Danio rerio: one gene and its partner. The protein of the gene in region 1 interacts with the protein of each later gene in a pairwise test. Links are inferred from orthologs where the notes say so. Each region holds a gene or a part of one and is shown in the gene's direction. Other genes may lie near its edges.

What was found.
Region 2: the proteins of l3mbtl3 (region 1) and ngb interact in binary tests that used the Homo sapiens proteins (3 or more experiments, as listed by UniProt). The two-hybrid records come from large-scale screens. The link is inferred for Danio rerio from reciprocal best matches to the Homo sapiens genes L3MBTL3 and NGB.

The regions. Positions count from the first base shown.
Region 1 is NC_133195.1:2,233,347-2,241,781, forward strand, and holds part of l3mbtl3 (lethal(3)malignant brain tumor-like protein 3), read left to right. Parts: intron 1-837; coding exon 838-929; intron 930-1,700; exon of another isoform or gene 1,701-2,576; intron 2,577-3,323; coding exon 3,324-3,475; intron 3,476-3,732; coding exon 3,733-3,809; intron 3,810-6,558; coding exon 6,559-6,644; intron 6,645-8,435. UniProt on the Homo sapiens protein: Is a negative regulator of Notch target genes expression, required for RBPJ-mediated transcriptional repression. It recruits KDM1A to Notch-responsive elements and promotes KDM1A-mediated H3K4me demethylation.
Region 2 is NC_133192.1:49,950,870-49,959,846, reverse strand, and holds the start of ngb (neuroglobin), read left to right. Parts: upstream 1-4,266; 5' UTR 4,267-4,319; exon of another isoform or gene 4,320-4,344; intron 4,345-4,503; 5' UTR 4,504-4,645; coding exon 4,646-4,743; intron 4,744-5,431; coding exon 5,432-5,540; intron 5,541-8,081; coding exon 8,082-8,201; intron 8,202-8,379; coding exon 8,380-8,532; 3' UTR 8,533-8,977. UniProt on the Homo sapiens protein: Monomeric globin with a bis-histidyl six-coordinate heme-iron atom through which it can bind dioxygen, carbon monoxide and nitric oxide.

The DNA.
Region 1 (8,435 bases):
GTGTATATGAATGTGTGTCTATAAATGTATTTGTGCGTATATGAATGTGTGTGTGTATATATTAGTTTGTGTGTGTGAATGTGTGCCTGTGTGTCTATATACTATATTAATTTGTGGGTATATGAATGTGTGTGTATATATTAATTTGTGTGTGTATGAATGTGTGTGTGTACTGTATATTAATTTGTGTGCATATAAATGTGTGTGTATATAATAGATTGTGTGTGTATGAATGTGTGCATGTGTGTGTATATATACTGTATTAATTTGTTTGTATATGAATGTGTGTGTGTGTGTATATATTAATTTGTGTGCATATGAATGTGTGTGTGTGTGTATATATTAATTTGTGTGCATATGAATGTGTTTGTGTATATATTAGATTGTGTGTGTAAATGAATGTGTGTATATGTAGTGTATTAATTTGTGTCCATATGAATGTGTGTGTGTATATATTAATGTGAGTGCATATGAATGTGTGTGTGTGTATATATTTGTGTGCATATGAATATGTGTGTGTATATATTATTTTTGTGCATATGAATGTGTGTGTGTGTATATATTTGTGCGCATATGATTGTTTGTGTATATATTAGATTAAGTGTGTAAATGAATGTGTGTGTGTGTGTGTGTGTGTGTGTATATATAGTGTATTAATTTGTGTGCATATGAATGTGTGTGTATATAGCATAATAATTTGTGTGCATATGAATGTGTGTGTGTGTATATATATTATTTGTGTGCATATGAATGTGTGTGTGTATATATTAGATTGTGTGTATGAATGTGTGTGAATATATAGTGTACTAATTTGTGTGTAAATGAATGTGTGTGTAGGGATGAAGGATGAAGAGTTCAGCTGGTCCTCCTACATCAAGCTCAATAAAATCCAGACGGCACCCAAAGCCCTGTTTCACAACCAGAACATGGTGAGTGCGGAAACCACAGAAGTGTGTGTGTGTGTGTGTGTGTGTGTGTGTGTGTGTGTGTGTGTGTGTGTGTGTGTGTGTGTGTGTGTGTGTGTGTGTGTGTGTGTGTGTGTGTGTGTGTGTGTGTGTGTGTGTGCGTGTGTGCGTGTGTGTGTCTGCAGATGGCGCTGTTTCTCTTCATTTAATTCATTTAACTTCATTTCACTTCAGCAAGACATAAACACACACGTGCCTTAAGCTAAACCCTTTGTGATTTAACAGCTACAGCACAGAGATGCCAGCGCAACTGAATGTTTCCTTTAAAACCCAACATTTATTAAACAGAAATACCATTTAAAATAAGTTATAGAACGACAAATATTTTCTAAAATACAATATTATATACAAAAATAAATTGACTAATGTGCGTGTGTGCATGTGTGTGTATAATAACTTAATTAAATAATTGGTAACAATAATAATAATAAAAAACACATTATTGCATTGAATTTTAAATTGCAAACATCTTTCCAAAGACATCCAGTTTTTATTTATCCTTTTATGAAGTGACCAAAAAGGACCACACTTATTTTTTCTCTGATTACACATGTTCATTTTTCAAGAGTGAGATTATCAGCCATTTCCTTTATCCACTGTGCAAGAACCGATCTTTGGATGTTTTTCCCATTAGTTATACAGTTGTACGCAAAGGTTTACATACACTGGATAAAAAGGCACATAACCATTTAAAAAAGTCAGATGTTTAATGTGACTAGAGTTTTTCTCTTTTAGGTAAGTAAGGATGATCACATTTGTGTCTGTTCTGCTTAATAGCAGAATAATGAGAGAGAGATTGTTTGAGAAATTGTTATAACTCTTGTTGAAAGTCAAGTTTATAGCAATCAGATTATTCTGCCTCTGGAAAAGCTCAGATGATGATGTCAGGGTTTTGGACGTTTCTGATTTGCTAATTGACAACATTTGAGTTCATGTGAGGCACAGCTGTAGAATAGTATTGAAGGAAAAGCTCAAACACACTGCTTCCTTGTGTGACAACATGGAGAATCAACAAGCCAGAATCAACACAAAAGCCGGATTACAATTTGCTGAATTACACTGGGAATAGACTCATGTTTGGAGACATGTCCTGTGCTCTGATGGAGCTAAGATTGAACTGTTTGGGCATAATGAGCAGTGTTACATTTGGAGGACAAAGGGGAAATCAACAAGCCTAGAAACACCATCCCAACTGTGAAGTATGGGGGCGGCAGCATCATGTTGTGGGGCTGTTTTGCTGCAGGAGGGACTGGTCCACTTCACAGCATAGATGGCATCATGAAGAAAGAACATTATGGAGAAATACTGAAGCAACATCTCAAGACATCAGCCAGGACATTAAAACTTGACCACAAATGAGTCTTCCCAACAGACCATGACCCTCAGCATACTGCCAAATTAGTTCATATGTGCTTTAAGAACTACAGAGTGAATGTTTTGGAGTGGCCATCACAAAGCCCTGATCACAATCCTATAGAAAATGTGTGGGCAGAGTTGAAAAAGCTTGTGCGAGCAAGACAACCTACAAATCTGACTCGGTTACACCAATTCTGTCAGGAGGAATGGGCCAAAATTCCAGCAAACTATTGTGAGAAGCTTGTGGAAGGAGACAAAACATTTGACCAAAGTTATACAGTTTAAAAGCAAAGCTAAAAAAAATACCAAGGAAATGTGTGTAAACTTTAGACTGTCTAGAAATTAATAGAAAATTCTCAGAAAGAAAAAATTATCTTATTATTCTGGCATTTAGCAAATGTAAATAATTCAGGTAATCCTTACAGATCTAAAATAGTAAACGTTTAGTATGATTTACCATCAGACATCTTTTAAAATGGTTATGTTCCTTTTTTTAGAGTGTGTGTAAACTGCTGGTTTCAACTGTATGTAGAGTTAAAGTCCACATAAACCTGAAGCTGTGACGCAGTTTCTGGAGAAACTGTATATAAAAATGAGTAAACAGTGGGTGTGGCTTGTTTTTTCTACTGCAAGCTGATTGGCTGTAGTAAAGTAGGCGTTTCATTCAGAAAGACTGGAAAAAGGGTTTGGGGAGAGTTATTACAGCTTACAGACTCCTCCTGTTCACCATTTCTGTGTGTTGTCTAAACTGACCGCTGGAGGGGCGTGGTTATGTATGTTAGCCCCGCCCAACACCTCAGACAGACCTAATCTGAGAATTTAACTAACAACAAACAGGAAGTGCATTAAAGACTCCAAGAGCAATCTGTTGTTTTCTTTCTTATTGACATGCACAGATGAATTGTTCACCACTAAACTAGCAGTGTGAGCTAACAGAATCATTATGGTTGCTTTTAGATTTCATGTACTTTAATATAGTGTGTGTTTGTGTGTGTCCTCCAGACGGTGACTCCATCAGGTTTCAGGGTTGGCATGAAGCTGGAGGCCGTCTGCAGGAAAGATCCTACTTTCATCTGCGTCGCCACGGTTACGGACATGGTGGACAGCCGCTTCCTGGTGCACTTTGACAACTGGGAGGAAAGTTACGACTACTGGTAAATTCCCCATGACGACGCTCTGAAGTGTGTGATAATGACATTTCCTGCACACAATCACACTCAAATGATTTGCTGTCCTGTGATTTATTTTTTTATTTTTTTTATTTTTCAATTATAAGTCAAAAGCTCAGTGTGTTTAATAATACATGTATCAAGAATGCTTAAAGCCTTACTTTATGCTGCATGACATAGATATTGATTGTTGTTTTGCTAGTTGTATTGAGGTACATGTGTGTGTTTCTTCTTTTGTGCAGGTGTGATGCCACCAGTCCTTATATTCACCCAGTTGGCTGGTGTCAGGAGAACGGCAGGACCCTCAGCACCCCTCCAGGTCAGTAAACACATCCACACCAGTCTCAGGCTCTCTAATATTCAGTTAAAGTCAAAAATACTACCCTCATTTGATTTCTTTTTCAAATATTTCCCAAAAGATGTGTAACAGATTCAGGAATTTTTCACAGTATTTCCTATAATACTTTTTCTTCTGGCGATAGTCTTATTAGTTTTATTTTTATCAGTTTTAAATTTATTAAAAAAACATTTTAAGGTCAATATTAATAGTCCCCTTAATCAATATTTGTTTTGTCTTAGACAAACCACTGTTTGCCTAATTAACTTTAATTAACTTTTAACTTTGAGGGCCCTATCATGCACCCGGCGCAATGTGGCACAAGGCACAACGCAATAGTTGTTTGCTAGTTTCAGCTTGGCGCAAGAGTCGTTTTGACATTTTGCACCACGCTGTTTAAATAGCAAATGCATTTGCGCTCATACGTGCGCCCATAGGCGTTCCGGTCTAATAAAGGAGGTGTGTTTAGATGCATTGCTGGCGTGTTGCTATTTTAAGGAACTATAATAGACTGCACAATATACCAGATCAAAGCAGGTCTATAGTCCAGCGCAGAGCGTGTTAGTTGTGCGCCTCTCTTAAACATTGCTTAATACAGACATGATGTACAGCAATACGCAAATATCTTTACATATGAAAAAGAGTTAAAGGATTAAAATATTACAAAACATATTATTTTCTAGCCTACATAAATATAAAAATCACTGCCTTCATGCTTTCTTCATCTCAGGCGGCTTTTTCAGTTTATTCATGACAATTTGCTTTTGTATAATGTTATTATTATTAGCAGTATTATTTATTATATGCATATTTATATTTGTTTTTAATAAAAAAACAAGCTTAGATTTGTCCACCTGTCAGGTTTTAGACCATATGGGGCTCAGCATGTGTATTAGGACATAACTCAGGTTTTTGAACACACTTCGTTGTTATTGTTCATTTATTCATTTGCTGGAAATTAGAACTGAATTTAGAAACAGTTTTGAAACTAATCTTTGCGCTTAACAAACAAAATTAATTATGTAAAGGCTAATGGATGTCTGCGTACAACACCTTTCCCTATTCACTAAAGTGAATGTGAAAGTAAATAATGAGGAGGCTCATCTCTTATTCTCCCCTGCAGATGCTCTGTTTAACTGTTTTCTCGCCATTGAAGCGTTCAGTTTACAAAGTCTGCCATGTAAATACCAAATGCGCTTATGCCGCGACCCAACTGACTCTTTAAAGGGGATGGGAGATGAGACTATGGTTCATTCTCATAAAATACACCTATAACTCATTAAGAAAATAAGCTTAACCCTGTTAGACCATGCGCCATGGCGCAAAGCGGATTTTCCCATACTTTAAATAGCAAAAGTGGATTCGGACACGCCCTTAATGCCTTTGCGCCCTGCGCTTTGGACTTTGTGCATGGACTTTCAAAATAGAGCCCTAGATGTCACTTTAAGCTGTATAGAAGTGTCTTGAAGAATATCCAGTCAAATATTATGTGCTGTCATCATGGCAAAGATCAAATAAATCAGTTATTAGAGATGAGTTATTAAAACTATTATGATTAGAAATGTGTTGACAAAATCTGCTCTCCGTTGAACAGAAATTGGGGAAAAAAATAAACACGGGGGCTAATAATTCTCACTTCAACTGTATGCCGTATTTTTCGTGTGTGTATGTGAGTAAAATACATGTACGGTACCTGATATGACTTATTATTGAATCAAATTTTGTGAATCATAATTAATTCGAACAGACAGAACTGAAGAGTGTGTATTTAAGAGGTTAGCTGCGTCCAACATCGCACACTTCCATACTATATTCATTCATTCATTCATTCATTTTCTTGTCGGCTTATTAGTTTTTCCCTTTATTAATCCGGGGTCGCCACAGCGGAATGGACCACCAACTTATCCAGCAAGTTTTTACACAGCGGATGCCCTTCCAGCCGCAACCCATCTCTGGGAAACATCCACACACACATTCACACACACACTCATACACTACAGACTAACATAGCCTACCCAATTGACCTGTACCGCATGTGTTTGGACTGTGGGGGAAACCCACGCGAAGGCAGGGAGAACATGCAAACTCCTCACAGAAACGCCAACTGAGCTGAGGTTCGAACCAGCAACCCAATGACCTTCTTGCTGTGAGGCGACAGCACTACCTACTGCGCCACTGCCTCGCCCATACCCATACTATATAGTATGCTGAAACAGTATGTGAGCCGAGTAGTATGTCTGGATTCATAGAATTGGAAAAACAGTATCTGAGAAGTTCCTGTATGACCTACTGCTTCCGGCGCATCGGGTGCACTCTATTCCATGATGCACCATGAAAGAATTCATGAATGGGAGTGAAGTGATGCAACTGGTCACGTGATCATGTTAAAATGCTGGATGTAGAACGTCCGAGCTCAATTCATACAACTGACATTCATCCAGTGTAGAATGTACTTTTGTAGCAGCCGAGTAGTGCATTTACATTCAAATGCAGAACCCACTGAGTTGTGGGTGATTTCAGACGCAACCTTCGAAAATCGAGATCAAAAATGGATCAAATCTTGTGAACTGTATTGAATTGTGAACTTTGTGTCAATGTCCAGCTTAACAATGGACCTTAATAACCAGTGAGATATACCATCATAATTATTTGAATTGACAGAAATGAAGAGTGCATATTTAATAAATTCATCTCCACCAGCTCCTGAATGTGTGTGTGATCTGTGCTGTAGGATACCCCGATGCGAACAACTTCTCCTGGGAGAAATACTTGGCCGAGACCAGCTCATTACCAGCTCCTGCTCGAGCCTTCAAAGTGGTGAGTGTGTGTTTGGCCAAACATTTCCAGCCACACAATGCCGCGACACATGATTGAAGAAATATTTTCCATGCCACAAGAAGTGTTTGTCATTCGTCTGCAACGGTGATGCACAAAAGTTTTATTTTAGAAACGATTATTATTTCTGTGAAGTTGCGACACAACAACCGCATAAACTACTGCGAGAGTGACAACCTCAGGTACTGATTATGGGCTTTATTCACTGTTAAATCAAATCCTGTCTGTAGACTGATTTCACGCGGCCGCCATTTTCAAAAGTGAAATCGAGGCTGTGGTGGGAAGAAACCGGGAAGTATCATTGGGAGTTACATAGGAATGTTGTGTAACTGGCTATATAGCTTATCAGCGAAGAGAAAGTGACACAATTTTATCATTTCACCGCCTTCCGGGTGACCCGGAGGTGAATATAATAAGGGATATCAGAGGTCATTTTCAGCTAAGTTAAGGGAAATGGCACTAGTTAGCTAATGTTTTCTTTCCCAAACACACGTTTTAGATGCTATTTATCAAACTCGAGTTAATAAACTGATTCTTTCATTATATTAGACTTATTACGATACTGAATAAAAGAAAAAAACATAAATTTCCCGCGAACATAAAGGCACTGTTGATGGCTTTCTTAAAACAGTGCTGATTTGCCATTGTGGTCAAGTGTTCAACAGAAATGATTGTGATTGGCCGAGAGATCATCAGTTCACCACTGTTTACCGAGCACAGACACAACACAGACAGAGGATTGGAGCGATCTGCTTGTTGATTCGACTAAACTTCAAGGCAAGGCTGCTTCGCGCTTTAGTCTCCGTGTATCTGTGTTTGCACTGGGTGAAGAGCAGTAAGCGGGAAATAGCCGGGTTTAAAACTTCAGTACCTGGGGTCCGTTCTTCGTACGTGGATTATTCAGTTAGCTGGATTTGGATATTGACGATTTGACAAGATCCAGGATCGTTTCGTTCTTCAAAGCTGATCCGAGAGTTGTTGTCATAGCAACAGTTCTGCTAGCTTAAACTTGATCGGGAGCAGGTTCAATTCATATAAACAGGATTAGATCGGCTCAGTTCAAGCAAAGATAATACAGAAAGTATGTTCTGAATTCTGATATTTTCTTACAGTAGTAGTTATATACACTTGGGAAAATGGTACATATTTTTAACTATATATATAAAGTTATAGTTATTAATAAAATAAATAAAGTTAAATATATTAATAAAACTTATGCAATCTGCACCCCGAAATGAAAGTACATAGACTGCCACCTGGTGGTGCAAAGAGAAAACTTATTGATATGAACTTTTTAGATCGCTTTAGTACAAATTGTGTATAATAGAAATGCAATATGTCACTTTTTTTAAAGCAATAATACATTTATGCAGTCATAAACATGCTTTGATAGTTAATATGCCAGTGATTTGATGCGTCACAAAAGTTGCAGACGCCTTTACCAATATCAAAATGCTTTTGTAAACAACACGTTATTCTTTACACCGATTAAAAAAAACAACTACTATAATAAAGAAAATCTTTTCTAAATGTCGAATTAAATACATTGATATGCATTAAAATACATGATGAATACTCTTGACACATGAAAGTGTAAGGCCTGCAGCTCACAACAAATGTGGAAGGTTATCGCGTGTCATATTTAACAAGCCGTTTACTGCTAATTTGATGTAATTTTGCTCACATGGATAATTGAATATTAATCAGATGATGTCATTACGCTGCTGTGCCGTCAGCCAATCGTTGCATTGCTGATCATGATTTCGAGGATCG
Region 2 (8,977 bases), on another chromosome or scaffold:
GACTTCTGACAGCGACTCTTGAGAATGAACACATATCCACAGTTTGTTCCTCTCTGGGCTGGCTGCCTGTCAGGTCACGAATTGATTTTAAATGATTCATTTTTGTTTATAAATCCTTTAATGGTCTAACACCATCTTATTTATCAAATCTCCTACATGTACAGTTAAGATCAGAATTATAAGCCCCCCCTCTTTATTTTTTCCCCCAATTTTTGTTTAACGGAGAGAAGGTTTTCTTCCACACATTTCACAACATGATAGTTTTAATAACTCATTTTTAATAACTGATTTAATTTATCTTTGCTATGTTGACAGTAAATAATATTTCACTAGATATTTTTCAAGTTACTTCTTGCTTAAAGTGATATTTAGCTAGGCTAATGAGGTTAATTAGGCAAGTTAGGGTAATTAGGCAAGTTATTGTATAACGATGGTTTGTTCTGTAGACAATAAAAAAAAAATTAATTATATATATATATATATATATATATATATATATATATATATATATATATATATATATATATATATATATATATATATAAAGAGGCTAATAATATAATATAAAAAATTTAAAACTGCTTTTATTCTAGCCAAATTAAAACAAATAAGACTTTCTCCAGAAGAAAAAATATTATCAGACATACTGTGAAAATGTCCTTGCTCTGTTAAACATCATTTGGGAAATATTTGAAAAAGAAAAAAAAAATTAAAAGGGGGGCTAGTAATTCTGACTTCAACTGTTTATAATCCGGGTAGGTCACTAACATCATCTGATCAGTTTTTTTCTTTCTGTACCAATGTCCCAGTGTAAGTGAAGTGGGATGAAGTCAGAATTATTAGCCCCCTGAATTATTAGACTGCTTGTTTATTTTTTCCCCAATTTCTGTTTGACGGAGCGAATATTTTTTCAACACATTTCTAAACATAATAGTTTTAATAACTTATTTATAAAAACTGATTTATTTTATCTTTGACATGATGACAGTAAATAATATTTTTCTAGATATTTTTCAAGACACTTCTTAACAGCTTAAAGTGACATTTAAAGGCTTAACTAGGTTAATTAGGTTAACTAGACAGGTTAGGGTAATTAGATAAGTTATTGTATAACGATGGTTGGTTCTGTAGATTATCGAGAAAAAAAAATAGCTTAAAGAGGCTAATAATTTTGTCCTTAAATGGTGTTTAAAAAAATAAAAATTGCTTTTATTCTAGCCGAAATAAAACAAATAAAGGCTCAGTTAAATTCTAAACAAGAAAAAAAGACATTATTCATTTAAAGATACACAAATAAAACTGCTCTTCAAATGAAAAATAGAATCACTGTAGAGTTTAAACATTGCATCTTATTATAATGTTAAATTATTTCATTGTTGTTGTTTTATCCAGATGGATGTCATATTTTGACACTCCTGTTATTTTGCATTGTTTAAACTATACTGTAATTTTACTTTTTAGAAAAATTGCACAGATTATCGTTCATTTGATTCTGAGCCTTTATTTGTCATTTATAAGGGATTTATAAAGCATCAATAGTCCTCATTTTAGATTAGGTCACAAAACTGCATGAAGTTGAGTTAATAAAGCATTTATTAACATATTAGTTAACTATTAGTATATGCCTGAATAATACGACATATAAATGTTGATTTCAATAGTGTATTAATCATTTACTAACTCATTCTGAATGATCCTGAAAACCCTCAACTACTCTTAAATACAAACGGTTTGTAAATAATTCGATACTTAATTTAGTAATGAAAAGTAAATCATTAACAGAGTATGAAAATACAATTATTAACCACATTATATAGGTGCTAATAAGTCAAGAATGGAGCATTTGTAGCTGCAGTTATAAACTGCTTACTAACACTTATTAATGTATGTTAATGGTTAACAAATAATGAATTCACTATTTGCTAATGCTTAATAAATGATTTATAGTGTGTAGTTATTATAAATTGTTACCTAAAATTCTAACGTAATATAAATGTAATTTCTTTACATAAGAAATTACTGACCTCAAACACTCGCAAGACATTAGTGATGGGAAGTTCGGATAATTTTACTGACTTGGATCTTTGAGTCTCGGTTATCGAGATGATCAAATCTTTTTTTCGAGTCATTTTGTTCATTTGGTTCAATTTGCCAAAATATTATTAAAATGTTATGAATTGCTTCCAAACACATCTACAACTAGCCTAAAACGTTGATCACACGTCAAATAAGTCATAAATAGAATACTGTAAGAAGAAGAAAATAATAATTCAATGTTTACCTGCTCTTTTGTCTATTTTTAAATTTTTTTATTTATTTTTTTTTGTCTATGCCGGCAGCTAGCTCTCGGCAACTCTCACATGGTCGCCCACTGAAGCTAAGCAGGGCTGCGCCCAGTCAGTACCTGGATGGGAGACCACATGGGAAAGCTAGGTTGCTGCCGGAAGTAGTGTAAGTGAGGCCAGCAGGGGGCGCTAAACCTGTGGTCTGTGTGGATCCTAATGCTCCAGTATAGTGACGGGTACTCTGTACTGCTCAGTGAGCGCCGTCTTTCGGATGAGACGTTAAACCGAGGTCCCGACTCTCTGTGGTCATTAAAAAACCCAGGATGTCCTTAGATAAAGAGTAGGTTTAACCCCGGCATTCTGGCTAAATCTGTCATTGGCATATCATCACTCTCTCTCCTCTTTCCTCCTCTCCACCAATCAGGTCTGGCACATAATGGCTGCCGTCGCGTCATCCAGGTGGATGCTGCACACTGGTGGTGGATGAGGAGATCCCCCACCCATTGTGTAAAGCGCTTTGAGTGGCCAGAAAAGCGCTATATAAATGTAGGGAATAATTATTATTATGAAGGTATTGTTGTCTGTTTGCTTAGCTCACCTCTTCATGTCTTGAAATGTCAGTGGTTCGTTCACGTTACACTGACAGTCACATATAATCTTAACCAATGTGCACAGTCTGAGCCGATAGGAGCCATGATAATTAGTTCACCTTTCGAATCTTCTGGTTCTTGAGTTGTTCGTTCATCACGTGACAGAATGACTCAATCCCGAGGACTCGAGAGTTGAACGGATTAATTCTTTTTTTGGCTCTAAATGCATATGATTGGCCTGTGAGAAACTAATGACTCAGACCCGATAGAAGACTCGATAGATGAATGGATCAATTCTTTTTCTGGCTCTAAACACATATGATTGGCTTTTGCCTTTCCGCGATGAACGACTCAAAAGATTTGAAATGAACTATACCACCTGCACAAATGTGCGAATTGGTAGATGAACGAATCACTCCCTGAAAAGATTCCAGAGTCTTATTGAAGGTTCATTCAAAATGAATGCTTTGAGTTACATAACACACCAGTGCTCCAATGGTTTTGTAAAAAAAAAAAAAAAAAAAAAAAAAAAAACTGGGTTGTTTCATTGTTATTTTTAATAGAATATGCACAAACACAACCATTGAGTTAAAGTTGGATTTGTCCATATTTAATAAAAAAATTACTTATTTTTGTAGCTCCTAAAAATCTTCATAATTATTTCCTATTGACAAATTGAATCTTAATTTAAACATTGGAGTTGTTTCAAAGCACCAAGAATAGTGAATTAAAAAAATTTCACATTTTGCTCACAAAAACATTATGCAATTCTTGTTAGTTTGAAAATGAACATCTTTCACTCCAGTACACAATATTTTCTTCAAATTAGTTCTCCTCAAATGTGCTCTTCAATCATAAATGCATCTGGAGTGTCTGAAAGTGTTGTAATTTTATTAAAGGCCAGACTCTCACCTGTAGGAGGAGCTATGGCTCGTAACATGAACTACATTAGGAGCAGTGGAGATCAGAGATATTTCCATTCTGTCCTTATCGACAGTCCATATGAGCCATTTAGGACAGTTTCAATGTGGTGGATTGAAAAAAGACAAAGTGTACTGAAATATGCGCACGTCTTTTGCTTTCAGAAGGTTGCAGAACACGTTTCTTCATCTTAGTTTGAATGCACATCAAGCAGCATCTATGAGGTTGCATGCAGCAGAGCGGGGAGAGGGAGCAGATAGAGGGAGAGATAAAGAGAGAGAAAGTGAGTGTTTGCATGTGTGTGTGAGAGAGCGGGGGGAGCAAAGAGGAAAAGAGAGAGAGAGAGAGAGAGAGAGAGAGTGAGACAAAGAAAGAAAGAGAGAGAGAGAGAGAGAGAGCAAACACAAGGATTGCAGGCTTGACATATACATATTCGCAGTGAACAAACAGAAATCCTAATGCCAGAGAAAGACAGACGAAGCCAGTGAGAGAAGAAGGTCACCTCTAGAGCAGTGAAGGCAAGGTACGTCAGCTTCACACTGTTTGTTGTGAGTATAAAGTCAGAGCTAAGTTAGGTTTCTTCTCTATTGAATGTTGAATGCATGACTTCAATTGTCAATGAAATGTATTTAAAAGGCTTTCTGATGCACGCTCTTCTGATAAGACTTGTTTGCCGAATTATATCTGCAAATTTGTGCCCTACACAGGGGGGTCAAACCTGAAGCCCGAACTCTGGAAGTCTGAAGTCCGGAAATGGGAATTCGGGAGATCCTACTTTGAACTGAAGAAAACATTTTGAAGCGACACCATTGAAAGACAACTGGGATCACAGCAATTCTAAGGGTCACAATGGAGAAGCTGTCTGAAAAAGATAAGGGTCTCATCCGGGACAGCTGGGAGAGTCTGGGGAAGAACAAGGTGCCACATGGAATCGTTTTGTTCACGAGGTACTGTATCCATCACGCTGCATGCACTGTTAAACTCTTTCGCATTCAGGATAATGTCATTCAAATCAGCCTGCGTGTTTATTCAGAAAGTTATGCAGTGTACATCTTCAGAGCATTTGATTAATTAGATTTGATTGAGATTGGGACATTTGTCAAAAATTCTAATTTCATACAAGTAATGCATTCTTAAAACAATGACATTTCGTGCAAATAAAGGAAATATTACAAACAGTAATAGGCAGTCAAATTGCATTGCATTTCATAACTCAATAAGTTTACTTGTCATGAAGGTGTAGCAAATTGGCAAGCAAAGTACAGCGTAAGCTTTTTTAATCCATCAAACATTCCCTATCAGTCTCCCGCTGTCTGTTCATCTAACCGCAGCTCAGTGAGAGGCTTGACTTGTTGCTTGGCGACAGGGAGCAGCAAGAGCATTTTCATCAGAATCACCTTCTCAGAGGAAGGATGCTACCAAGTATTCCTCTTCAAACTCGCGGGGAAGGATGAAAAGGATTTTCTTTCAAAACTTGATAGCTACAGAAGAAAAGGGATGCACACAGTTCAGTGTTCTTTTCAAGGCTAAATGTCTCATATCGCACCATTTCGTTTTTCTTCATGTTATAGAAACAGGAAATAACCATAACCAAGATCCAGGCCTGTGACTGGTTTGTGTAACATTTCTTGATAGGTTATTTGAGCTGGATCCTGCACTACTCACTCTCTTCAGCTACAGCACAAATTGTGGCGATGCACCTGAATGTCTCTCCAGCCCAGAGTTCCTCGAGCACGTCACCAAGGTGAGCCCTGAGGTCAAACGTAACTACTTTTGGGGCGATTCTCAGTATGTGTTCTAATGAAATCTTGCCTGCTCGTGTTCTTCTTGTTCTACATTATCAACTACTGCAAAAGTTAGATCCCATGACTAAGAGAAACCAGGTATCAAGAATACATGGCAGTACCTAGATGGGTTCTTAGCATGGAGGATGCATTAAATGCTGATTTAAGATAATTATTTAGAAATCCAGGGGTAGATTCTTGCTGCAAGCTCACAAATGTGATGCCTTGTGGAACTACTAATTTAGTTTATTATAAGAGATGGGGCGATGCGGTGGCCCAGTAGGTAGTGCTGTCGCCACACAGCAAGAAGGTTACTGGTGTGAGCCTTGGCTGGGTCAGTTGGCGTTTCTGTTCTCCCAGCGTTCGCGTGGGTTTCCTCCAGGTGCTCCAGTTTCCCCCACAGTCCAAAAACATGTGGTACAGGTGAATTGGGTTAGCTAAAATGCCCGTAGTGTATGAGTGTGAATGAGTGTGTATGGATGTTTCCCAAAGATGGGTTGCAGCTGGAAGGGTGCGTAAAACATGTGCTGGATAAATTGGCAGTTCATTTTGCTGTGGCGACCCTAGATTAATAAAGGGACTAAGCCGAAAAGAAAATGAATAAATGAATGAATATAAGGCATGGAGAAAACCTGCAGAACTTGTTGAGCAACAGCAATCAATAATATCAGCACATTTTAATTCTCACAGAGATGCCTCTGTGTTTTGTGTCCTTCCAAGGTTGCCAAGAAAATCCGGTCTCAAAGAGACCACATCGTTCTTTGCAGTCTTAAAATTAGGAAACAGGTAGCATTACATACCAAACATTTAGCATAAGGTGTAGCAATCTTGATTTAATTGAGTAAATGGGTCAAATTGGTAAGTTGATGGTTCAGTGCTCAGGGGCAAGTGTCATGCCTAAATTATTCTATACTTTAGTGTAAAAAGGTTTTTCATATTATTAAAATGGTCCTTAGACTAAGAAAAAACAAAACGAAAGGTTCTTTGGGTAACCCAAAATATTCCATTGTAGTTCAAATGTTAGTTATTGCCCTGGAAAGTGGAGGACAATAGTTATTGCCCTGAAAAGTGGAGGACAATAGTTATTGCCCTAAAAAGTGGAGGACATCACATGTTTTTTGCAGGATATTTTTGATTCCAGATTAAAAGAAGAATTTTTAATTCAAAGGTATTAAAGTTCTTAGGAAATGACTAATAATTACAGTTACACTAACTACCCTTAACACTAATGAGTTCATCTGAAGATGCTGCAAACACTGTTGTGCAAATCTTTGTTTTTAAATGTAGAAAACATCAGCCAGTTTCCTGTGAGCAGGGGCCAGGGGGCTAGAGCAGGGAAAACTATGTAGAACGTCAATTGGAACACAATTTCTTCATAGAGCTCTCTTCTAATGAGCTAAATAACGTTTGTTGAACAAGAGAAACCTGCAAAATGTGCAGAGAGTGTTATTGCAAAGACCAGGATTGCGAACTGCTGCCATAGAGCAGAGTTATGTAAATGTACAGTACCACAATGTTACACTCCTGTTGCGTTTAGATCCAACTTAAATATAAAAACTCACCTGCTTGCTTTATTAGCTTGTTCAGGTGTGGTTAATTAAGATTGTCTGGAACTCTACAGGGCTGTGTTTCTCTAGGACAGTGGTGATCAACCCTGCTCCTGGAGATCGACCTTCCTGCAAAGTTCAGCTTAAACCCTGATCAAACACACCTGAACCAATTAATTAGGACCTGAACAGCACTTGATAATTACAGGCAGGTGTGTTTGATATGGGTTGCAACTGAAATCTGCAGGAAGGTCGATCGCAAGGAACAGGCTTGGTCACGCCTGCTCTAGGACCAAACATACCTACTTCTGCTAGACAGTGACATAGTTTTTTTTTAGGACAAGTGTGTCTCATACCTCTCCTAAGTGGAGAAACCCTTTCTGCAGAGCTCAACAAACCTGGAACAGAATCTGATTTCATAGGATTACTCAAGTCATACTAGCACAAGCAAATGTCTTAATGGATTTGGTTGAAGGTTAAAGCAAAAATACTTCTTAAAGGAGGTATACCTTCCTCCTGAAGGACTTAAATTGCTGGATCACACGGATTTAACTATGGAACAAGCTGAATATATCAGCACTGTAACCCCTCTGTAAGTAAGTTTGACAGCCTTGCTCTACAACAGGCGTGCCCAATCCTTCTCCTGGAGACCTACAGTGCCTTCCTGCAGAGTTTAGCTCCAAATCTGATCAAACAAAATTAAACCAACTAAGTTGGATCTGAAGGAGCACTTGGTAATTAAAGACAGGTGTGTTTGATCAATGTTGCAACTGAACTCTGTGGGAAGGTAGATCTCCAGGAACAGGATTGGGCACCTCTACAGGAAGATGATTTTCCAGGAAATAACCCCTCTAGTGTAGTCAAATAAGTTTCTTTTACTTGACTAACTTTGGCCCAAGTGCAATCCCAGATAAATATGTTCATCTCAGCTCAAGTGGTTGTATATCTGTCCAGGTGATGTTAGTGATTGATGCAGCTGTGAGCCATCTTGATGACCTACACACACTGGAGGACTTCTTGTTGAACCTGGGAAGGAAGCACCAAGCAGTTGGAGTGAATACGCAGTCCTTCGCTGTGAGTACACTTTGCTTGCAAGTTCCAGTCATCATTAGCTAGTCATCTGTGATGATGGAAATTGCATATTGCAGCTGTAACTCTCAAATGTCAAAGATGACAATGAGATTGACAGTTGTGTCACAGTGAATTTTCAGACTATCAGGTGATTGATTTGATTCTTTCACGTTTTCATCAGTTGGTTGGAGAGTCCTTGCTCTATATGCTACAGTCCAGTTTGGGACCAGCCTACACAACATCTCTGCGCCAGGCCTGGCTCACCATGTACAGCATTGTGGTGTCAGCCATGACTCGAGGCTGGGCCAAAAATGGTGAACACAAGTCCAACTGAGCAGGAAGTAGATGTGAGATTCACTCTGGAACATCTTATTGCTATTGAGGTCACCAGATGTAACTTCTCAAAAAATGTTTTTAAAGAGTGAGGGGCTCGGACCGCTGAAGGGAAAATCTATTCAAATGAGTTGTGTTTTGGCTCATTCTATAATCCTAACTTTGGTAACTTGGTCAGATTAAGGACTAAGAAGGTGGTTAGGGATAACGAAGCCTAGGAGGTTGAAGTAAGTCCAGGATATAGATGGTTAATGGTTGAAACTTCAAAAGCAAAGTTTGCTTTGTATATATAGTAATGACTAAGTACATATAGTAATGACTAAATGTATTTCTTCAAGCTATCTTAAATGACTGTCTTGATGTATTGATGTTTCATGTGAGCGTAAAACAGAGGTTTGACTATGCACATGTAAGCTTGGTCATCTTGAAGGGATTGTTTTATTTTG